Oryzias latipes: one gene and its partner. The protein of the gene in region 1 interacts with the protein of each later gene in a pairwise test. Links are inferred from orthologs where the notes say so. Each region holds a gene or a part of one and is shown on either strand. Other genes may lie near its edges. The genes, in order: rnf5 and slc38a7.

Region 1 (12,522 bases):
TTCCTAAACAAAATTACAATAACTCCATTTTCCTGGTTGTTCCTCAGACGGTGGTGTTCGGGAGCTACCTGGTAGCTCACGGCTTCTTCAGCGTCTACAGCATGTGTGTCGACACGCTCTTCCTCTGCTTCCGTAAGGTTTTCCTTTTTTCCGTGACGTTTCTCTGTCGATTCACATGGTTAACAAGTTCTGTGGCTCTTCCAGTGGAGGACCTGGAGCGTAACGATGGATCCATCCAGAAGCCTTACTATATGTCCAAAAGCCTCATGAAGATTCTCAATAAATCCAACAAGGCCGCCAAATAGAAGAGACGACAGAAGAACTGAAGGTCACGATAAAACACAGAAACCACTTTTTATGGAAGATTTTGTAGCTTTTACCTTTTTAACACTAGTCTACTGTAAAGATGTTGAAATGGATTTGCTAATTTTGCACATTTCGTCTTGTTGCATGTGCATCAATATTCTTGTAAACGTGAAAAAAATAATTTCATTAGAGAAAAAAACTTTTTTTTTTAAATATTCACTGAAATTTAACTGAGATAAATATAACAGATATAGACTGACATGTAATCAAAGCTTTAGCAGCTCAGTTTTGTTAAAAAATTTAGTTTTTTAATATATTTTTAAAAATGTAATTTATAAAAGGTTTACATGTTTCATTTGGAAATTTGTGAATAAAGTTTTAATTCTTAAAGCTTTATTGTTCTGACTGCAGCACCATACTGTTTTTGCATTTCTTCTTTCTTACTGTACGTCTGACCAAAAATGTCGCCCCCGTCCCAAACTCAAAAACCAAAATTTGTACACAACTCTGACCCAGAGAGATGAGTTTGGGACAAGGTAACCTTCCTCGAAAAAACGATAACATCACAGCATGAGGATCAGAAACATAACCTGAATGGGCAAAAATCTCTCAAAAATGTTTTAAGATCCACTAATGAAACCAAAACACGTGTTGGAGATGTTCAAAGGGAGTTTTGACATTATTATGGGATGGGTACTGGGCCTACGGCAATGCTGCCTTTTTGTGGCAATGCGTGAACAAGTTTACATTTTATGGACAACTAAAAAGTAAAATAGTTGCTATGGAGATAAAACAAACAAAAGTCACTATTTAAAAAAAAGGCTTTTTTTAAAATTCCGAATGGCAGGTTTAAAAGGGGGACGTCGGGCAGCTCCTGCTTGCTGTTTCATCAAATTTCAATTGTGTTTTGTGATCAAACGTTTGGAAAAAAAAAGACAAAATGACTTTGGTTAATTCAAGTTTTAATCTGAGACCATTGGGTTTTGTACAACAGTCCTTAAGCCAACACGGTAATTTAGCGTCACGTTAAACCACTTTCCTATCAAACGCAGCTAAACCCATCAGAAACATCAGAGTCCAAGCAGATTGTTTGTGTCCGTCCCGCAGCGGGACATGAAATGAAAAGTGTTTTCAGTCCAACTTCCAGGTGAAAGATCTCCAGATCTGCACATTTCAGGGACGATGAGTCTGGACGGTGGAGCTGCAGGGTCCCCTGGAGGCATTCATGGAGAACAATGGAAGATCTGACTAAAACATCTGGTTTTCAAAGCACGACTAGAGTCACAAACATCTAAGGACTTCATGGGCTGGTTTGGTCTGTAGATGGCAGTCAGCACTCAGAGCAATGGCATCTAGAGAGGAAACCAGCAAATAGTCCATTCCTGGCTACGCATGTGACCCACATCCCCTTTGAATGAGCAGGAATTCACCTTTAGAGTGAAAGGCAGTCAAACTTTTAATCTTTCATCAGAATTTACAGGTTAGACATTTAAGTACCCGAGTAACACGTATGACGAGAGTATTCCAGGAAGTAGACAGTTTGAACACTTCACAGTCGCACATCTTCTCCAGGGCTCTCCCATCCAGTCACAGCATGTACAATATTTATATATACAAATATATACTGTATGCACACATACGCACTCACAAAAATCCACAAGTGTTTCGCAATCCTGTAGCTTTGGAAAAGGGGGCGGTGCCGGTCGAGCGAGCCGTCACTCAAATCTCGGAAATATCTATAGTGGTTTCTGAGGATTCTCTCTGCCGGTCGTGGCGTTCTGGCCAAGTCGGTTATGCAATTCGTGGGAGGCGAAGCTCTGACTTTTAGTTAGTCTGAAGAGGAAGGTCGGCTCCGCCTTCAGGGCGGCTCCGCCTTCAGGCGACCTCCACCAGGAGAAACGGGTTAAGACAAATGTTTGGAGGAGGCTCCCATGGAGACTGAACAGGAACTTGGCTGCACTCCTAACCCCCCACCCCCCATGGCCAATCCACATCTGCCCACAGAGCCCCCCCCTCCTCTAAATAAAGAGGAGTTGGTAATCTGATGAATGAAGTGACCTCATCCATCTGATCATTCGGATTATGTAATACTGAATCTGAACGCCAAACCCAAACATTTCCACTTCCTAAAATGTTTTGTGAGCCCAGACGACCGCCACGACCGATTTCTGGGGTTCCACGTCGCCAGGCATAAAAAAAACGACGAGCAGGCGGGGGCTTGTGCTGCGGCGACGTGACTACGGGAGGAGGAACCTGTCCAGGTGTGTGTGTGTGTGTTCATGTGTGTTGCTGCACTCCTCCCTCCCCGTTTCCGATTTCGGTAAAACCACCTCCTCTCCAGGTCAGTCACACGCTCAGCAGCCAGAAGAAGAAGAAGATGGCCACGAACAGGAAGAGCGAGTCCTGCCAGCTGTTGTTGCCGTTCCCGTTACCTTGGTGATCACCTGCATACTGGTCTAAAGGTAAACAAGAAAGAAAAGACTTTCAAATTGAAGTAGTGAGTTTAAAAAAAATCTAAATTTGGATTTATTTTAGGCAAGAAAAATTCCACATTTAATGTAATGAATCCCCAAACTTTTTCAGACATTTCTGCAGACCGTCCTGTACGAGGCCGACATGGGCGTCTGATTTGAGTTTTTTTGTTTCTCTGAACTTTTGAGACAGAAGTTTATCTTCATTCTCTGTAAAATATTGATTTGTTCACTTGATTTCCTGTAGGAACCATTAAAATGTGAAATAAAGTTTAAGCCGTGACCATAAAAGCAGAAGACGCCAACTTCAGCCTCTTCTGACTTTTAAGATGAGACGGAAAAATACAAAAAACAATCGTGAAAACTGGATTTTTAAAAAAATATAATCTTAACGAGAATCCACTGTTTGAAGAACTTTATTAGCAGCATCCTTATAACATTAGACAGCTGGTTGACGATTATTCTGCATTATTATTATGGTCTGTGGGACCAACTGTCACAATAAATCCATATTTGGAGTAAAGACTCCTTCCTGGTTGTTGTCTGTTGAAAGCAGATTTATTTTATTTTGAAGGGGAAGGCTCTTCAGTTTCCTCTCTGGATCTTTCCACATAACTTTCTTTTTCGTTAACTTTGCTAGCTTGAAGGTTTTAATTTAGCAGTCGGTGCGGCCGCTTTAACAAAGTAGCTGATGCATTTTCGACATGAGACAGAGAGACTGGTGGAGAGAAACTGGTCGTTTTTCAAAATAAAACTTCCTTCAGAATCAGATTCGAAATAAAACTGGATAAAAGGTTGGTTGTGGTTTTTTTTTCCTCTTTGATTAGGGGACCGCTGTGTACCTGCTCTGTGGAAGGGGTCGTTGGCGTTGAAGACTGTCGTGAAAAAGCCGAAGGGGAAAGCGCCGATGCCAAACGACATGTGGAAACCGGTATCCCCGAAGCCCTGGAACATCTGAGCGCAAAGACAAACCCGACAGTCAAAAGCTACAACAGCTGGAGGAACATCTGACCTGAAATTATGAAGGAAAGTCATGTGAAGGAACATTTAGAGGCTGCTTTAGGTTTTGCGTCACACGTTTGTGGGGATTTTGTGGTTAAAAGGGTATTTTCGTGTTGCATAAAAGGTAAAAATCTGAGAGGGGAGTACAAACGGAAAAAGTCTTTTCAGAGGAAGGCGTGGGAAAGCGCAGACTCACCCCGCCTCTGCTCTCCGGCTCCGTCCTCTGCCCCTGAGGCCGGGGTGGGGTTTTCAACCTGCAACACAAACAGCCCGTCACAGAGAGGCCACGCCCCCCTCCAATGGGACTGAACACAGGCGGCGAACCTGGGGTCCTCCTGGCTGGAGCTTCCCCGTCCGTACAGCGGGATGACCTTCTCTCTGCTGATGCCCGCCTTGCACACCGGACACTGCTGCCTGCTGGGCTGCGTCTCCAACCACTGAGAAGGACAAGACGGATCTGACGCCGCTTCCACCAACGAGACAAAATGTTTGTTCCTGCAGGAACGGACTGAAGACCAACGGCTGCGCTCATGTCGCATCAGCAAACCGAGACCCGTTAAGGTCATTAGTGTCACACGGTGCAGCTTTAACGCCGACGTCACGTCAGGAGCGCCGCTTAAGCCCATTACCTCCACTTTCTCTGTGGAGACGCCGAACTGTTTACAACAAACACCTTCAGCCTAAATACAAACATCGGCACAAAACTCTACTGCCATTAGAACGCAATCTGGACTCGGTGGTTCACATGGTAACACTGATCTACAAACGCTTTAAATATCTGGAAGCCTTTTTTATTTTAAGTTGAAATAAAATGTCCTGCCGTTTACGTTGGCCCACAAAAGATGCAGAAAAACCTTCGGCCTTTTATCATTAAAGACAAAAAATGAAACCTTTTCACTGAAATCGATTAAAATGTCATTAAACATGACCAAGTACATCAGACCCAAAAGAAGAAGCTGCCTTGAGCCTAAGTTTTTCTGTAGAAATGTGTCTGAATCTTTCAAAAAAACTCCAAAAATATAAGGATCCAGTTTTATTTCTCTTCAAAGATCGAGTCAGAAGCTGTTTGGGAAAAGAACAGAGGATGGACTCACCTGATGTAGACAGGGCCAGCTGCAAACAGGAGAAAAGACAACAAATTATTCCCTTCTAAAAGCAATTTTGCTGCGATTCAGAGATTTGAAAGGAGGCTATTAGTTTAGACAGACATTTCAAACAATAAATCCGTCAGAAATGATTCGATCTTAACTCAAAACATTTGAAACAATTTTAAAAATGGAATCAGATCCCTGTAATCTGCATGACTTCCAAGCCTGCTCCAATGAGAAGCTGTGGACTGCTCCATGCAGCCCCGGCGGCCCTCAGGCGTTTTCTGGGAGCCGCCCGGCTCCAGGAGAAGCCTCGTGACTTTGACAGGAAACATGAAGCTTTTTCCAAAATGCAATGGTTACGATCCTTTCACATTAAAAAGTCTCATTTCAGGAACTCGTTTGAGTCTTTTTGCTCCCCAGAACTGGCCTTGATTCCAAGAATTTAGTGTGTGATGAGAAGAAAACTGAAATGAACCTCCATTTCTAACAGATTTTTGCTTTTTTTTTAAGGCAGAGATATCATTAAACCACCGTAAATCTACACATTTTAGAAATGCTTTGAGATTTAGTCATGAAGGAACTTGGAGCATGCAAACCAACAAGAAGGGCGGGACTTTCAGAACCACAGCAGCACTCCGGCGCAGTAATCTGCACTGCTTGGGTTTAAAAAACGGGGATCGGCGTCCCCGCAGTCAATTTAGGATCAAGGATCAACACAGAGCAAATCCTGAGTTTCAATACCAACTTTAACCTGCAACAAGTGATAAAAACCTGATTTATTTGAACTGAGAAGCCGCAGGACTTTGTGCCTTCAAAATAAAAGCTGCTTATCTCATCATTTTGTGTTTTTCAGATTACCTTTGCAATGAAGTCAGACGCATTTTTTTTGGCTCCAAACACCAGTTTATGAAATCATCTCAGAGATGGCTTGAAAAACTAATCTAAGCAGAATATTACTTTACAATAAAATACACCACATTTCAGTGAGAGTTTGTGGAAAATCCGACACTGCATAGCTAAAAGTCAAAGATGATGATGAATCCTATTCCACAAGCAGCTTGATGAGATGTTGCAGCAGGTGAGCTGATGTCATCAACTGACCTCCTTGCTTCAAAGTTTCATCATGTTACGTACAGATTTGGGGGGGGGGGGGGGGGGGGGGTAACATAGCAACGACGTTACATCAGCGCACGCCGCCGTGGGAGCTGCAAACACAGACACGCACCAGCTGGTCCACCAGAACTTGATCCGGTACTGGACCGGGATTTAACCCCCAGAGAGCTCCGGAGCGGTTTTTCCTCTGGGGGTTTTAAGTTAATTAGACTTTATTTGTTCTTCTTTTTGTTTATATTAAGTAGCAGCAATCAACGGCTGGTTAAGCTACAACAGAAATCCTTCCTCTGTCTGAGAAAAAAAACGGCGTGTTTGTACCGATTCATTCAACTGGACAGATTTTCTCTAAAACACACCAATACTTGTTTTTATATTTACAAACTTCTAAAAAAAGAGTGACACTATATTAAAAGACATATAATGGATACAATAAATGCAAATATATGTGTGGATTTATTTTTTTAAATGTCTCAAAGTTTCCTGAATGTCTAACATTTTCTCTGTTTTACCAACTTTTTCTATTTCTGTTCAGCAGCTTAAAGACAAAACTGGCTTCATCGCCTCCTTCTGACAATCATAGCCATATCAAATATACATTTTCCAGCTTTTCAAACAGAGTACAGGAAGCGCAGAAAGAGAAATGAGAAGCGGTTTTAATAACGATCGGCTGTGACATCACAAAAGCCAGCAAAGAAAATGAAAGGAAATATAACCAACAGTAATCAGAGTCGCTCTACAACCTGATCTATTGATGAATAGTTCCCTTTTAATTATGATGGTGCTGTTATGCCACTTCCCATCATGCATCTGTCTACACGCTGTCCTGCTGGCTTACAGCCCCTCACACAACCCCAACTTAATCTGTGAGCTTATGGCCCGCCCAGTTTATTTTCTGTCACAAATACGATCTTTTTCAAACTGAATTTTTTAAAATTCTGCTCCTGATTCACAATGATTTGAATAACAAAATACTCAGAAAATGTTTAATTTTCTCTATAATTGTCCTCTTTCATCGGAAAAATGCCACAAGAACATGTTAAACATTTTTAATAAATCACTTTCATGATTTGTTTTTATTCTATTGCAAACCCCCCCCAAATGAGCAAGAACTGTTGAAGGAAAATGTACATTTGCATTTTTTTACAGCTTCTTCAATACATTCCAAAGATTATATTTTCCTGCACTTAGATTTTAGTCCTTCTTGATCAATTCTTTTCTGGATTTTGCACAATAAACAATCTCTGATGTGTTAACCGCCTTAAACCACCAAAGTCCAAGCCTGTGCTTGTTTCCACACTGAACCCTTCGCTGCTTTCGATTACAGCTGATAGGAACCTGCTGACCCTGATGTCACATCAGCGACTCCCAGATTAGTCACACAAAAACCACTGAGTTTGTGTGAACCGACAACATGAAGGTTGAAGGTTGCGCAAGTTTGGATCACAAGGGGGAGAAAATGCTAGAAAGTCTTTGGCCGCAGGTTCCTTTCAGATGTGGTGAGCTGCCAGTTCAGATTAAAGTGGATTTAAACAGAATAGCTGATTAAATCACAGCAACAAGCTGAAGCAAGTTTGGCTCATCACAGACTGATGTTAAAGTTAGAAATGGTCACTAAGCATTTACAATAAGAGTTAATATGTCACAGATTAATACGTCACCTTTGACTGACAGCTGATAAAAATGCTGTAAAAAATGTTTAGGTGTAATGCAGTAAAACAGTTATGACCTGCCTCTGTAAAATATTAGTTTGTACTTTATTCTTATTTTTAATATTATTATTATTGTGGTTTTCAGCGAGGGGCGTGACTCCGCCGTCAACAGCTGACGTTAAAGAAGGCCGCGCGCGCGCGGGCAAATAACATCAAAAGATCATGGAAAAACACCCCCACACACTCTAATAACTACTGTTTTGGTTTCGTACCAGAACAGGTGTCCGCACATACTGATGACAGCGTCCCTGGCTGTGTCCAAACAAATATTGCATTCGAAGGTGGCCCGGTCCCGCTCGCTTTCCCCGCTGCCGCCGCCTGGCCCGTCGCGGTCGTTGCTGCTTTCCCCCGCGGGGAAACCTCCTCTGGAGTAGCGGGGATCCGCCGCCGCCATGACGGTTATCGGAACAGCGAAGGGAAGTAATCCGAACTGAGTCAACCCAAGCCACTCGTGCCCGACTGGTACTAGCGTTAGCCGAGTCCGACACTGATGGTACAGTCTTCACTTTGGACTGAGTTGTGGCTGCTGCTGCTGTCTGAGAAACCACTTCCGTTTCCGGTCAAAATAATGCTGTAAGAGTCGGGGGGCGGGGCTAAAAATGTAAATACAAACGCCTCATGGAGACTGTACAATGATTATCGTGGTTATTTACTTTTTAAGTGTATTTTCAATGTTTATCATCTATCTGCGGGTTTCAATTGCACTATGGTATCAAAATAAATTACTTTTTACCGGATCAATAAAGTTCTATTCTCTTCTATTCTATGAAGCAAGGCCAATGTTTAAGGTTACATCCGGTAGTGTTTTATTTTAAATAACCCTTATTCATAAATTCAAGAAAGGCAAAACAAAACAAATATTGTGATGTGTCAAACTTATACACACATAAACACGCGCGCACACACACACACACACACACACACACACACACTCATACACACACAAATACCTGACAACAACAGTAATAACTAATGGCACACTGAGAAGATTTTAAATAAACAGCAAAGAGTCTTGTTTTTTTTTCTATATTAAGTTTAATTAAACCTTGTTAACCTCTTGACTGATAATGTTCACTGTCAGTGGTGCAAGTTGCATAGTATTTAAAGTGTTTTCTTTTACTTATTGTCTTGTGTCTTGTTTTAATAAAATGTTTAAAAAACAAACGGAAATGACAACAATGATAATTATCATAAAATGATGTGTTCTTTTGAATCAATTTAATACAAACAATAGGGCAGTCAGTAATCAGGATGTAAATAACAAACAAAGACAAACAATTGTTTCTAAAAAATTTCAAAAAACTAACATTTCAAAATTCTGTTATTCAAGTTAAATTATAACTATATATCCCAACCGTTTTTTTCCTTCTTCAATACATTAAATGTATAACTGCATTTACTGTATTAAATTAACCGGGATAGGCATTTTTTTAAACTGACAGAACCCGTTAAATCTGAAAACCAAACATTAAAAAGATTTAAAGATTAAAAGAAAGAAAAACAGTGTCTTTTATTTAAAACATTATTTTTTTAATTGACTCATTTATGAACATCCCCGTTTCAAAACCGGAACTTTAAGCAGACATCTTTGTTTCGTTCCGGAGCTATTAGGCCTACGCACAAAACCGTTTGAGTACAGCTCCACGCTGATTTAGGATCTTATTTTGACCCTTTTTGACTGCAGAAAGAAGACATTAATTTAAGTTTAAAGCTTTGTTTTTGCTTTCGCTAATTTCTTTTTTTATTCAAGGCGGAACATGAAGATCAAACGACAGAAACAAGCCAAGAAAACGATTAGCTTCTACAAATACAACTTCAGCTTCAGGGAACCTTTTCAGATCCTCATTGACGGGACTTTTTGTCAGGCGGCGTTGAAGAATAAAATTCAGATTAAAGAGCAAATGCCGAAATATCTAATGGGTGAGGTGCAGCTGTGCACCACAAAGTACGTACATAACCGAATGGTATTCTCTGTTGTTGTGTTCAGAGTCTTTGGTTGTTGTTGTTTTTTTTAAATCCGTTTTATTCGTTTTCACACACAGTTGCGCTCTGAAAGAACTCGATACTCTCGGAAAACAGCTTTATGGAGCCAAAATTATTCTGCAGAGGTTCCAGCTGAGGAAATGTGCTCACTTCAAGGACCCGGTTCCTGCGTCAGAGTGCCTGCTGTCCATGCTGGAGGACACAAACCCGCACCATTACTTTGTTGCCACGCAGGTACATTTAAATGGACGAAGAGCTCACTTATTAATAAGCAGAACCGCATAGATTTTCAGTTTAGTGAAGAAAATCTGAACACAAGGTGCTGCATATAACTGTCAGGATCAGAAAACTTTCTGCTCTTTAACATTTAACTCCCTAGATTGCAAAAACAATACACATTCATTGAAGGGATGACTGGAAACACGGCAGTAAGGTTCATTTTGAAACATAAAAGGGTATTATTGACTTTCAGCAACAAAAAACCTAAATGTCACTTACTGTGTTTATTGTAGTATGATTTTTAGGGTTTAAAAAGAAAAGTCTCTTATGGCCTCAGATTTGGAAAACAACTAGAGGAGGAAAACAAACTGTTGCTAAACCAAACCATTTATGGAAATTTACTTTTCCCAAATAAAAATTAAAGTATGGCCCATGTGACAAACCCTTTTTAAAAATCTTTGAACATTTTTCTTGTTGGTTTATCTCAGGAGTGGGCAATTATTTTAACTTGTGGGCCACATTGGGTTATAAAATTTGGACCGAAGGGCCGGACCAGGAGCAGATGTGTGGAGTGAGAAAGAAATAACATGGAATGTAGATGAAAACATTTGGATTGAAAAAAATTTTTTTAAACGTAATATTCTAGAGTTTTTAGGTTAAAACTTTCGTTCCCATTTTAGATCTCTTTTTTTATTGTGAAGCCGTTTGGTACCTTCAAGGAGTAGTAAAGTGCTGTATGAATAAAGTTTCATTCATTCATGATCTGTATAACAATATAAATAACATTATTTATGAAATAAAGCAATGACCAAATAACACCCTATGATTTTCAAAGACAAAAATTCAGGAAAAATATACTGATATATATTAAAAAAAACACACACACACACACAAAAAAACAATAAATAGTCGATCCTCTCCCGTCATAATCCTAATAAAGACTTTCAGGGCTGCAACTCATCACGTATGTTAGTCATCAAATTTTAGCACCTGAAATGAAAGTTTAGCTTCCTGTGTGAATCAGAATACTTTCAAAATAAAAGCCATTTAAAATATAATCGTAATAGATCCATAAATGTACGTTTCAGTCTTAAAGCAATCTCATAATCAGAGGAAGTAGCTGGTAAAATTAGATTTCGGTGTGATATTTTTACAGGATCATACGGTGACTGCAGGCCTGAAGAAGATTCCAGGTGTTCCTCTGCTTTACATCATCCTCAACACCATTGTGCTGGACAAGCCCAGCCAGGCGTCCCTCAGTCATGTCCAGGCCGTCCAGATGGGAGAGCTGGTGAGCCCTGCTCAGCAGAAGAGCATCCAGAGCATGAAACAGGAGCAGGGCATCAGCAGCAAGGACGGAGAGAGCCGGGGCAGGAAGAGGAAGAGGAAACAGAGCAACCCCAACCCTCTGAGCTGCCTCAAGAAGAAGAAGAAGAAAGGAGCACCCACACCCCCTCTGAAAAAAACAGAACCGGGGGAGAAGAGAAAAAGAAGCAGACACAAGAAGCAGAGGACAGCGGGGGACCGAACAGCCACTCCCACCGGGACAAATACTGAATGAAGCAGAAAAATGAGCCGTTTTTTCTAGGAAAAAAAATCCCAGAAGATTCTTGGACAATTCAGAATAAAAGATTTTACTACAAGAGTATTTTCCAAAATTACTCCCAAAATTTTTAAACGACCTTTGGAAAAGTGGGTTGTTGTTTTTTTTTCTTTTCCTTTGCTCGGATACAAAATTAACAGGCAAGCTCACAGACACATATTTCAAAGCTGCCGACAGTTCATTAGAAAATCAATCCTCTCAACTCCGGAGGCACAAAAGGATGTGGACTCACTGAATTACCCCAAAAAAATGAAATATGAACATCATACTCTGTCATACTGATGGTTATCAAACAAAATCCATTCTTCATTCATCTTCTTCCGTTTTGTCCCTTTCGGGGTCATGGGGCTGCTGGAGCCTATCCCATCCACTTATGGGCGAAGGCAGGGGGCACCCTGGACAGGTCGCCAGTGTGTCGCAGGGTAGAGCGTCCACAATCACACACCTAGGGACAATTTAGATGAACCTATAAAGCATGTTTTTGGACAGTGGCAGGAAGCTGGAGAAAACCCACACATACATGGGGAGATCATGCAAACTCCACACAGAAAGGCTTGATGTTCTGGTTCATGTCCCCCAGCCGGGACTTGAACCGGGGGCCTTTTTGCTGTGAGGCAAGAGCGCTAACCACTGCAGCCACAGAATCCATTGTGTCTTTTGTATGATGAGCTAATGTCCACTCATGACTAACGCTTTAAAATAAAATAAAAACATCAAATTTTCTGATTGGTAGAAATCTATTTTTTAAACACAAAAGTGCAGTTTCCCAAAACATTTTGGTGCATCTTTGTTTTTAATCTACTGGATGATAGGTGAACCACATTTAGGACTGAAGCTGAAATCATTGATTACATTGAATTGAGAGAATTGACTAAGCAACTTCAGCTGCTTTAGCTTTTCAGATTATAGGATTTCTTTCACCTCGTTTACTTCCTGCTCCTATAATCTCAACATATTCTTCGTCATTTTCACACAACTGAAACAAAAAAGTTCAAACGCCTGATTCATGCTGTGGAACCTTAAAA
Region 2 (12,474 bases), on another chromosome or scaffold:
TTTAGAATCACCTCAGAACTACCTTGCTCTCAAAGGCCAGTGGTCCTAATCTAATCTTCCCAGCAATCGCCGCAGCAACACAGTTTCCTGCTGATTGTCTTCATGGCAGGAGTAAAGGAGTCGATGTGGAGGGGATTTTAACAAGGTTGTTCTTGTTAAGCTCAGGTTTGCGGCTGATCTTGTTTTTGGACTTTGAGACTCCAGATTGGATTATGTTTGCTGGTCCCACTCAGCAGTGTCATTGGGTCACATGAAGTGAGGGGGCTAGATTTGAAAATGAAATCTACAGCTGCTAACAGAAGCAGGGTGGTGGTAGTTTAACCACACAAAGGTTCAGGAATGTTTTCATGCACGAGTAAGACTGCTGCCTATCACAATGTACGTGCGGATGATTTCAGTGTTCTCATACCATCATCATTTTTTTTAAATTGTAGCTCATGGTGGGGTGGAGTGCAGATGGGGCCCCCTGATCCCATTCTCGGGGTGACAGAAGCCTTCAAGAGGGACACCAACCCGAAGAAGATGAACCTTGGAGTAGGAGCCTACAGGGATGACCAGGGAAAGCCCTTTGTGCTCAGCTGTGTTCGCAAGGTACAACAGTCAATGCAACCAACGACTTTGCCCCTTTGACATGTTTTGTCTCTTTTACCGCCCGTGGCACTTTTTCCACCCCTGCTTTACTGTGGATTGCTAAACAGTCTGTAATCGAGTGGGGAGGTTTACAGTTTCATTGGGTTTTAACTGTAGAGAGGTTGGAGCTCAGGCAAGCTTCTGATTGGTAGTTGTGAGCCAATAGAAAGGCCTCCTGGCCTGGGCAGGTCAAGTCTTCTGGTTCACGACATTGAACTCATTGTTGTTCCTGATAAAGTGTTCTGTACGTAACCATAACAGCTTTGTGGGATAAATTGAGAAACACTTAAAGTTCTTATAGTTATTTTTACAATGTGTAGATGTCAGCAGAAATGATCTAAATAAAGAGGTCAGTTTTGGCATTTCAAGAGTTTTAAATAGTAAAATTAAATGTCAAGTGTTTTTTTTTTTTTCCTTTTTTAAGACCAACTGTAAGGGATTTCATTTTCTTCGAAGGCCGAATCTTTGATTGCAGCCAAACAGCTGGATAAGGAGTACCTTGCCATTGGGGGTCTGGGTGAATTCACCAAAGCCTGTGCCCAGCTGGCTCTTGGAGCAGACAGTGAGGTTTTAAAAAGCGGCAGGGTAAGTTGGAGAAGTCTGTTGATCCAACTTGAGAATAAATCAAATATTTTGTATCCTCATAAGTGCTTCCATATGCGTGCCCCAACAGAGCATCACTGTTCAAACCATCTCAGGCACAGGATCTTTGCGCATAGGAGGCAACTTTTTGGTGAGTTTCAACAGCACCACCACCCCAGACAAAATAAACTGACGTACATTTACTGCTTTCAGGGTTTGCTGCTTTTGTCATCATTTTTTTTTATCCTTCTTATTTTCAGGCTAGATTCCACGCAGGTCCACATGACGTGTATCTGCCAAAGCCATCCTGGGGAAACCATACACCCATCTTCAGAGATGCTGGCATGCAACTCAAAGCATACCGCTACTATGACCCTTCCACCTGTGGCTTTGACTTCAACGGAGCTCTTGGGGATATTTCTGTAAGGCAACTGATTGGGTCCAGATAGATTGCATTAGAGATCATTATCATCGTAATGGTTTTTAAAAAAATATATCTATCTATATCTATATAGATATATAAAGCCCCTTTTAACCTCCCCCCTCCTTATGGTCTTGTGATCAGTCTGACAACTTGGTTCTAGATTTGTTTTGAACAGTTTAGGGGCAGGATGTAAGATATCAACAGAAATCAAAGATTTTACTGCAGTATTACAGTTTTTGACAAGATGCAAAGAAACGTCTTGAATACCTCTTCAAAAAATGCACTGGATTCAGATTCTCATGAAAATGAAGATTGGGTTTAAGAATTAAGTCCCCTAGGAAAAATTACTATGCCTTTTTTTTCCCCTCTTTAGCACGACATTAGTCAGAATCATTTTGATTCTAGTTTTCATCACGGTGTTGCCTCTACTTTAACACAATCTGCCATTGTGTGTACAGCGTTGCCTCATAATATTCTTTAATATTAGACTTATTTTTCTATGAAGGTTTGAACTTTAAGAGTTTAAACAACGAAAAAAAAGTGTAAAAATGTTCATGTTTTTCTGAGAAGTGTATACTGTGTAGTGAGGTTTTTTATTTTACAGCTTTAAAACATCTCTAATTCAACTTTGCAGATGTTACATATTGCCGGTTATTTTTTTGAACGTAACCGCCACAATAAACGAGGGATCAGTGTTTAACAAGTTCTTATAAAAACATTTTAAGATAAAATGTTCAGTAACAAGTTTAATCACGAGTCTCTAGTATTTTACTGTTTAGGTTGACAAACTTTAACCTTTTATGTGATAGAAAATCCCAGAGAAGAGTGTGATTCTGTTGCACGCATGCGCCCATAACCCCACCGGCGTGGACCCCAGGCCTGAGCAGTGGAAGGAGATTGCGCAAGTTGTGAAGGTACCTAATTGTGGTATATTGTGTTAAAGGTGGTTTTTTTTTGTGTCAACAAGTTGTTTTCACTGTATGTCCCTGTTGTGATGTGACTCTTGCAGAAGAGAAACCTGCTGCCATTCTTCGACATGGCCTACCAGGGCTTTGCAAGTGGCGACATTGATCGCGACGCCTGGGCTGTGCGGTACTTCATCGAACAGGGACACAACATCGTCCTGTCACAGTCCTTTGCCAAGAACATGGGACTCTATGGTCAGTCCACTAAGATTAAGACCTTTAAGACCATTGAGATTTGAAGGATCACTATGGGGTTGTAGCACTAAAGAAAAATGCTATCATGTTTTGCTGCCATCTAGTGGGCAAATATGCATATGACTTTTAAAAAAAAAAATCATTGAAAAAAAATCTACATGTCAATCCAAAACTAGTTAGTAGCACCATTGTGGATCCTTATGCAGCAGCTACTCTTGTAGCTGAAGTTGTGCTGTTAATTTTTTAATCTTTGCAAAGTGTTTGACTCTCATTGAGTAATCTGGCTCAATGTTCTGACGTGCACCCACAGGTGAGCGCGTGGGAGGCTTCACTGTAGTCTGCAGCGACGCAGAAGAAGCAAAGAGGGTGGAGTCCCAAATCAAGATTCTCATCAGACCCATTTACTCCAACCCACCAGTGAATGGGGCCAGAATCGCTTCCACGATTTTGAACACTCCAGAACTTTACTCAGTCTGGTACAAACATAAAATGCAGTCACTTCTTCTTCTTCTTCTTCAAAAAAGTTGATCCCTCATAAACTTCAAATGAATAATTTTCCAGCTTTTTCTTTTAACAGCATTCTTTGTTTTGTGTGGACTGTAGGCTGAAGGAGGTGGATTCTATGGCCAAACGCATCATTACAATGAGGGAGCAGCTGGTGGAAGGTTTGAAAAAACACGGATCTTCTCACAATTGGCAGCACGTCATCGACCAGATTGGGATGTTCTGCTTCACAGGCCTAAAGCCTGAGCAGGTACTTTAACATTTTGGGTCAAATTACAGTACACTTATAGGTTTCCTTGTCTCACCAAGATGAAATAGTAAAACAATGTTGCCGGTTTTTGTAGAAAACCTAAAGGAAGTGGGTGTTTTAAAAATTTGACTTGATGCATGTTGTTCTGTGCTTGCAGGTTGAGAGGCTGACTAAGGAGTTTTCTGTGTACATGACCAAGGACGGTAGAATTTCCATGGCAGGCGTGACCTCTGGGAATGTGGGATACCTCGCAGAGGCAATCCACGCAGTCACCAAGTAGACTGTTTTCTGTTTGGAGAGCGACAGAATCAAAGCTGCAGAGTTGAAGAGGAGCTTTTATGCATCACTTCTCCAGCCCACCTTTAGAGAAGAGCTCATTGTTTAGTAATACATTCTCGTATGGATTTCATGATTTCATCGTGGAACGGTTGCTGTTTTTCCAATTACCTGTTCAGAACTTTCCTGTCAACATTCTCCCCTGCTTAGCAATGACATATTTCTTTCTGGAGTAGATGTCACATTTATTTATTAATTGGGATTAATTGTCGTACCATTTGGTTTTTCTGATTGTTACCTTCTCTGCTGTGAGCCCTGTCATCATGTAACACCCAGAAATAAAATCACTGGGCAAAGGCTTGCTGGCTTTATGTGTCAGGAAAAATGCCTGTTACTCTGTCAAATCCTGTAGGATTCTTTTTTCTTCTTTTTTTGTTGAAATGGTGGTGGTGCAGCACTTTATGTTTTATGGCACTATTTGATCTTGTCACTGGGCTTGGCTGTCTAAACAGGCATTCATCAGGTTATCAGTTTGCTTTAATTTCATCAGCCCTTCGGTAGTTTCTGGCTCCATGTAAGGAAAACCTCGCATGTTCCTTTTTTTCTGTCTATCTGTTTAAGCTCCCCATTCAAACAGGAAAGAGTTAAGTGTAAAGAATAGATTCAAATTCTGTGTGGATATATTTTTTTTTTTTATCAAAGTTGGCATATATTGCCACCTTTTCACATGTTGACAGTGAAAGCTCAAACCTGTAATATTGATGATTGGAGTTCCCTTTTTGGGGGGTTAACAGTGGGATTTAAACAAAATATTAACCTATTGCTGAAGTTCACCTCCATTGTCTGCTTATAAATGGTCATTTGTCATAAACCCGAAAAAGAACAATAAACTGTAATGGAATGAGTATTTAAGTGTGTGCTGATTATTTTAATTATGTGTTTTTGCAGCTTTAAAACCTGTTTTTGTTAGGTATGAAGCGATTTGTTTTAATGATTCGATTCACATATTTTGTTGTTGCCGATCTGATTCACAGTCAATTTTGGATCATTTTGAACAATCGAATTCACTGACCTGAAATCGATCCAGGACATCTTTAGCCAAAATATCAGTGTGACTCAGGTACTGAACATTACAGGTGATGTTTTCCAGATTCCTTGTATTTTAAGTGTAAATATGTACCAACAAACAAGAATTCATGGTAAATCCATTCACATTTTAGATTCATAAAGTTCAGCCCACTGTTTTTTTCTACCTAGAAATAATCCAAATGAAACATAAAAAACCTTCTACCACATCATCACGTCTTTACAAAATTCTGTGTTTCCACACATTGGACTGTAATGATGGCCTGATCGATTTTTTGCTTGATCGTTTTTACGTTATAGTAACATGAACCCATGTCTCAATTCAAATGGTACTGTCCAATACCGATCATTGATCTAATTTAGAAACAATTTTAAGGGTTTAGGTCGATCCAGTTGGATTCGAATAACAACTTGTCTCAGACAGATTGATCTGGTTGGATCGTAGGTATAGAAATTGATTAATCCATTTAGCGCTTATTTTTTACACCCCTAGTTTTCATTATTTTTAACTTTGTGATAGTTTATCTGACACTTATCTTAATATTGATACGATAAAACAAATTTTTTTGTTTAATATTTATAAAATAAAAACGTGAAAAACATAAATTAAATGACTAGGGAAATGTGTAATAAACTACATAAAGTCCGTAAAGTTGAAATGGTTTGACACATTTAGCTACAACTCCCACAATTCAACAGAAGGTGAATTTCCGGTCACATGACTGTCACGTGCTCCTCCGCTTCTACGAGCGGCCAAAACACTACAGTCTGTGACCATTGCTAAACATAAGGAAATCACGACGGGACCAAACCGAATGTAAGTGTTAAAGACTGATTCAAACGTGACGCTAAAAACAGTTGTTTGTGTTGGTTTTGTCATTTGCTTGCAGCTTTTGTTAATTAGCTTTTACGAAACAAAGACAAAGAACAAAGCTGCCTTGGCCATTGATTCCCAGTGTAATTAAATTGTTAGCTCATTTTTTAAAACAGAAACCGGGATTTCATTCACGGTTATTGGTGGGGCTTTCTTTTTTTAAATCTTTTTTTTTTTCCTTTAGTAATTTTGCTTTCAGATTCGACGTTAGTACATGTCATACAAGGGCAATGTCCTCCTAATGAAGGAAGAAAAAATAGTCATTTTAATTTGAACATAAATAAATGGACTTTCAAAACAAAAGCATGAATTCAATGAGTTAAGGTTTCCTCCTGTTTAGAAGTACAGTACATAAGTGATTGTAGCGCATATTTTGTGTTTGTAGACTGCACAAGCCAGCCTGCTTTTGATTAAGACTTTTATTTCAGTAGGTTTGCATAAGAATCTATTGGTTTGTACTGAAAATGTTTAAATAAAATGTGTTTAGGAGTACTTTTGGGTATTAATAACAGAACACGTTGTCTTATTTATAAAAAAAAAAGTCAGAAAAATTAAAGGTTAACACTGGTGTGCTGCTGTTATGGTTTTTGTTGCTCATTGATAAATAATACATCTTTTTCATGATGAATGTTGACAGTAACAAATTCTGTCTATGTTTGACTCTGAAGGCTAACTTTCTGATGGCGATTAACACTGATGTGGAAGACTGGGGTGGTACCGGCAGCAATGATGCTGGAGAAAGGGCATGGCTCCTGCAGAGCCCCAGTGTGGACTCTGTCCAGCACCCGGAGATGGCTGAGAGGAGCAGGGGCGTTTCAACCCTGGGAGCCGTGTTCATTGTTGTGAATGCAGCTCTGGGCGCAGGTCTACTCAATTTTCCAGCTGCTTTCAACATGGCGGGAGGAGTCACTGCAGGAGTGGTGCTTCAGATGGTAAGGAGAATGGTGTACTATCCTTGATAAGTGTTTTCTCCCCCGGTCTCCCTCACAATCACATGTTGTGCTAAAAGCTAAACAAACAGCTTCAGATTTGTTGATTTTGGATCTAATCAGATGTACTTGAGTGGATTTTCTAGCCTCTGGAGAAGACAAACGGAGACAAACAAAAAATCTAAATGCCTTATAGCTTTGGATCGTAAAGCAATTTAAAAGGCCTCTGTTCTTTATATTCAAAGGTGACAAATTGCATTCATTTTCTGCATTATGTTAACCCTTTGTTTCCTGCTTCTGCTTTACAGTTTATGCTGATCTTCATCATCAGTGGGCTTGTCATCCTGGGCTACTGCTCCCTCGTATGTGCTTTATTTTACATTCATGTTGTGTTTTGTTCCACCTGACATCGTGTGCAGCTTTTGGTCTTATTGTTTTTCTCCAATTCTTGGTCATTTTAAGAAAACGTATTGAAAACAGAATGCTTTTGCAAATTGTGAGGTTCTTCTTGAAGCTTCAGCGAAAAGCTGGACTTTCACTTCCTTAATAGCTCAGACATAAGCTCATGTGCTAAATATGCGTAGTGATAAAGTGTCAAATCAGCAGCATTTATCTATTTTCCTAAATGTGTACATTTGAAAAAGTTATAGTGTGTTAATAGATTTTTAGAAAAGTTCTTAGAATAGCTTCTTTCAAGGACTAATCTTATGGTGGAGCAGGTCTGTTACATTGAGCTTAGTCTGTTTGGCTGGTTAGAAACTATAAAAAAAGGAAATGGATATAAAGTCAAATTTATGTGTGAATACCTGGGGAGAAACACTTTACCAAAAGTGCTCATGCATGTTTTATATTTGTATTTATCTGTTTTTTTTCCAGGTCAGTAATGAAGCCACCTACCAAGAGGTTGTCCGAGCCACGTGTGGAAAAGTCACCGGAGTCTTATGTGAGGTAGCCATCGCTATCTACACTTTTGGTACCTGCATCGCTTTCTTCATTGTCATCGGGGACCAGCTGGATCGCTGTAAGTGCATTCAGGAGTGGGCAATCCTCCACTCACCTCCAAGTAATCTTAAATTGTGAAGCACTGTGCTGTTTTCAACAGTGGTGGTTAGGTTTGGTTTTTCTCTATTTAGTTTAGTGGTGGTATAAAGTAAAGCTAGTGCAGGGATTGACGAGGGCAAAGAGTATCTTGGTTTAATCCAGTCAGCTTTTTTGCTCGGTGAGTGCGTCTCTCATGTGACAAACCTTCACATATCCTTGAGCTGAGGAGCTGACTCAGTGGAAACGCTTCATATCTGCTGTTTGTTCAGATGTTTACATTTTATTTCCTGCACAGTTATTTTCACATCTACAATTTCTACGTGAAAACTTTCTGTAATCATTGATTGTTGCTGCAGTGATTGCTGCTGTAGAGGATAAAATAGATGGAAAAGTCAGTAACCACTGGTATACTGACCGCAAGTTTACCACCGTCATTACTGCGATCCTGGTCATTCTTCCTCTCTCCATCCCCAAAGAGATCGGCTTTCAGAAGTATGCAAGGTAATCCTAACCTTTTACAGTTATTTGAAGCTTCTCCTTACATGGAGAATTAAATCTTTTTAGAGAAGGTTGGGTTTGGTCATTCTGCATGAGGATCATCTCGTGTTTTCTTCTGTAGTACCTTGAGTGTAATTGGAACCTGGTACGTCACAATTGTGGTCATTTTGAGGTACATCTGGCCAGACAAAAAGGTGACTCCAGCTTATATTCCCACCAGGTAAATCCATTTTTATGACACTTCTTTTTAAAAAACGTTTTTACAGATAATTTGGCTGAAGTCATCTTCATATTTTCATCCCGGCTTCTTTGGAATAAATTGCTCTTTTTGTTTTTGTGACAGTTCTGCTTCCTGGACGGCAGTTTTTAATGCAATGCCCACAATATGCTTCGGTTTCCAGGTATTTCCTCATTTGTTGTGATTGACGTTCTAACATGATGTGTCCGGGAGGTTTTTATTTTTTAGTTTTTGCTGAAGTGTTCTCCTCTCATCCCCCCTGCAGTGTCACGTCAGCTGTGTGCCAGTGTTCAACAGCATGAGAAAGAAGGAGATTAAACCCTGGGGATTTGTCGTGACCCTCAGCATGATCATTTGCCTTTTTGTTTACACAGGAACAGGTATGTCATCGTGTATTAGCAATGCACACTCAATAGGATGCGGCATATCTTTTGAGTAGAGCTGCATCCCAGCCAGTCACTCAAAAATAAACAAGCTGATAAAGAAAGTCTCCTCGGTGCTGCAGACGGCATTCAATCATCCAAAGCACATTCATCTAAAGAAAATTGAAAAGGGTGCAAAACATGATGGACAGCAGCGTACATCCTTAGAAAACAATTTTTATATAGAAAAAAGCAAGTTTGAAAAAAAAAAAGATGCTTATGTTGTAATCTTGTTAAAAATACTTTGTTGAATGAAGACTTTTGTGTGGCAGGCGTTTGTGGCTACTTGACCTTTGGCTCCAGCGTGAATCAGGATGTGCTGATGTCGTACCCTTCAGATGACATCGCCGTGGCTTTTGCAAGAGCATTCATCGTCATCTGTGTGATCACCTCCTACCCCATTTTACACTTCTGTGGCAGGTAAAAAAAACAACAACTTCTCTTTCCTTCTAGTTTCTGTCAAAATAGAACATTTTAATAAAGAGAAATATTGGACACCACCCTCTGAGATAAACCTTCATACATAACAACTGATAGTTTGTATGTAAAAACCACAAGCTTTTTCAAGCTGCATTTTTTCATCTGCTCCTGATTCACAACGATTTGAAGAAAGAAATACTCAGAAATGCAATTTTAATATTATTTGCCTTTATCATAAAAAAGTTACAAAAACATAAAAAAACTCCATTTTCATTGGAGTGGGTCTTTAATTTATAGTTTTTTTAACTACCCCATTATACTCTCATTATTTTTCTACAAATAGCTCAAAGATAAATGATCTTTTTTCAATTACAACTTTACTTTTGCTTTGAGACAATAGCACTGGACGTTTGTGAAAACATCAAGGGTATCAACAGCAGTCTGCTATGATTAGAAAGAGGTTGAAAGACTCTCTGATGGTTCAGACAACAAAGATTCATTTGATCATTTTAATACAAAAAAATAAAAGTGGTTCCTTTTTGTGTTAAGAAGGTCATATAAATGCAGTCTTGATCAACAAAAAAAAAACTGAAGCTGAAACAAAGCAGAGCTGTCAATCAATCAGTTGATGAATCATTTAATCAGTTTTACTCTGCCATTGTCTACTTTGTAAGTCGATGCAAAATTTCCACTAAGCTGTGTGAATATTTAAAGGAGTCCTTTCTTTCACTTGTTCATTAATTTAGTTTAGTCTGTCTAGTTGGTTCAGTTTAGAATTTCCTTAATGAATTTTATGTATTCACAATCCTTTTGATTTTATGTGTACTTTACAATTACCGGTATGAAGCCCATTGAAACGACTGTTGCTGTGATTTTGGGCTATATACAGAAAATTGAATTGAATTAATGTTATTGATTATCCTTTTCAGCTGATACACTGAGTATGGCTAACATAATTTTTATTCAATAAACTTCTCATCTTTCATAATGCCAAATTTGTGGAGCATTTCCTCACTGCAGTCTGCTGTAATGGGGTGTCCCTGCAGGGCAGTCGTAGAAGGACTTTGGCTGCGTTTTCAAGGTGAACAGGTGGAGGTATGCGTGCGCCGCGAGCAGAGGAGGAGGATCCTGCAGACACTGGTGTGGTTTGTTGTCACCCTGGTCCTCGCCCTCTTCATCCCAGACATCGGCCGTGTCATCTCACTTATAGGAGGGCTGGCGGCCTGTTTCATCTTTGTGTTTCCAGGTGCGTCCTGTGCTCTCTTCTAAATACACTGTCCCTATCCATGACACACTGCAATGTTTGTCTGCTCTTTTACTAACAGGTTTGTGTTTGATGCAAGCAAAAATGTCAGAGACAGAGAGCCGATCTTTGAGGTGAGATGCTCTATTTTTTTTTCTGCTTTTGTGGAATATTTCTTTAAGTGTGATTGAAGCTTGCATTAGATGAACTGCATGTAAAGCTCTGTTACTGTGTCTTGAGACATTAAGTGAGATTTCCACAGTGTCTGTAGGCTTTTATAAAGTCCAAATTAGACGTATTTGGCTGAAAAAGGCCAAAGCTTAGATTACAAGTGCCTTTGACACATTAAGTCAACTTTTTATATTGGTACTACTTGGAAAAACGGCATACTCAAACCATGTTTTGTAATCTTTTGCTACAATTTTGTTTTTTTATAAACATTGGATGTTTTTATTCCCATGTAAACTGGGCTAATAAATCATGAGTTGCCTGCATTTCTGTTTACAGTTTTTCTCAGTCACTTTAGTACAATTCTCAGATCAGTATTGAACTTTGCAAATACGTGTGTGCATTTCTCCAAACAATTTGTACAAACAGCAAAACACTATGGATTTCTTGCAAAAGCCTGTAACTTGCTCAAAATCTTTAGTTCATCTCTCAAAACTAAGTCTTTATGTCATTGAACATCTCAGTGCCATCAGAATGTCAAGTCCTTGTGTCATTGTCTACGAACAAGACAGTCAAATTACTTAGTCATGTTGTCAATATAACTGTGTACTTTTAAGGGAGGTTCTGATGTAAACTATGGCTAAAGTTTTGATGACAATTATTGTAAAATGTAAGTTACACCTTTTCTGTTTGATTGCAAGAGACTGGACAAGATTCACATTTACACTTTTATTGTTCATATTGTAATTTGTTGACAGACCATGTCATACCAACATAGAAAAAACCCACTGCAAACAGTATCACAAAGGGAAAAAAAAGATAGGAAAATACTCTGTACGACAGTACAGGCAGTGCAGTAGGAAGTGGTGTGGTCTTCCTACACCTCTTGTTGTTCCTGTATGTTAGGCCACAAATTCTCATCCTCATCACAGCGAATATCCTCTCTTGAAATGCAGCGAAATATGTTTGTCACATTATGACAACTTGGTCAACCATTTTGCAGTTAATTACTTATACGATGAAATAATGACTAGGAGTTTTGAGGAGTAAGACTATTGCACAGTGAACTATATAATACATTTTGATCAACATGACATAAACAATTGATAATGTAGCAAAGAGCAGAGAATTGTACATAATCATTTGCATGGATGTACCAAAGCAATTGCAACTTGTTCAAAGAAGTGAGAAACTGCTTATATGATGTGCACAAGTGACATCATGATGTGAAGACTGAACAAATAGTTTGGGGAATTTCTTTCTGATCTGAGAATTGTACTAAAGCGACTGAGAAAAACTTTAAGTTAATAAATAACACCAAATTTGCATTTTAGGTCCCTAATAAAACATCAACTTTTTTCTGATATTAAGCAGCAGTTGCATAACAACGATAAAGGCTCCCTCTTTAAAAAGCTTTTATTTTGAAAAGCTGCGGTGATAGAAGCCCAAAATTGTAAATGGTATATTTTTCAGCACTAGGAAATGTTATATGGATTAAAAATATATTTGTAAAGTTAATATTTTTGGCTATTCTACATACAGTTAGACTTTTTATTTCTCTAAAAGATGGTTCAATATATAGACAACGTGGTAAAATAAACATGGTACTTATTTTTAATAGAAACATCATTAAAAACACAACTAAAAATAAAATTGTTTTATCAAACTTTATTTTCTTTGATACTAATATTTTTTTGGCTACCTTCTTCACAGCTGGCATGCTTTGGTA

The links.
Region 2: the proteins of rnf5 (region 1) and slc38a7 interact in binary tests that used the Homo sapiens proteins (3 or more experiments, as listed by UniProt). The two-hybrid records come from large-scale screens. The link is inferred for Oryzias latipes from reciprocal best matches to the Homo sapiens genes RNF5 and SLC38A7.

The regions. Positions count from the first base shown.
Region 1 is NC_019869.2:5,389,507-5,402,028, reverse strand, and holds rnf5 (E3 ubiquitin-protein ligase RNF5), read right to left. Parts: upstream 8,242-12,522; 5' UTR 8,087-8,241; coding exon 7,905-8,086; intron 4,893-7,904; coding exon 4,874-4,892; intron 4,217-4,873; coding exon 4,104-4,216; intron 4,034-4,103; coding exon 3,976-4,033; intron 3,732-3,975; coding exon 3,620-3,731; intron 2,763-3,619; coding exon 2,653-2,762; 3' UTR 1,252-2,652; downstream 1-1,251. Other genes in the region: slc44a4 (choline transporter-like protein 4), read left to right, coding at 48-132, 205-305; rRNA-processing protein UTP23 homolog, read left to right, coding at 9,450-9,637, 9,735-9,909, 11,051-11,455. UniProt on the Homo sapiens protein: Membrane-bound E3 ubiquitin-protein ligase that mediates ubiquitination of target proteins. May function together with E2 ubiquitin-conjugating enzymes UBE2D1/UBCH5A and UBE2D2/UBC4.
Region 2 is NC_019861.2:21,811,027-21,823,500, forward strand, and holds the start of slc38a7 (putative sodium-coupled neutral amino acid transporter 7), read left to right. Parts: upstream 1-5,614; 5' UTR 5,615-5,729; intron 5,730-6,454; 5' UTR 6,455-6,466; coding exon 6,467-6,718; intron 6,719-7,023; coding exon 7,024-7,077; intron 7,078-7,591; coding exon 7,592-7,736; intron 7,737-8,112; coding exon 8,113-8,257; intron 8,258-8,375; coding exon 8,376-8,474; intron 8,475-8,597; coding exon 8,598-8,655; intron 8,656-8,757; coding exon 8,758-8,872; intron 8,873-9,186; coding exon 9,187-9,334; intron 9,335-10,380; coding exon 10,381-10,580; intron 10,581-10,659; coding exon 10,660-10,711; intron 10,712-12,458; coding exon 12,459-12,474. Other genes in the region: got2 (aspartate aminotransferase, mitochondrial), read left to right, coding at 435-591, 1,087-1,215, 1,304-1,363, 1,473-1,634, 2,446-2,550, 2,646-2,796, 3,107-3,272, 3,400-3,550 and 1 more. UniProt on the Homo sapiens protein: Symporter that selectively cotransports sodium ions and amino acids, such as L-glutamine and L-asparagine from the lysosome into the cytoplasm and may participates in mTORC1 activation. The transport activity requires an acidic lysosomal lumen.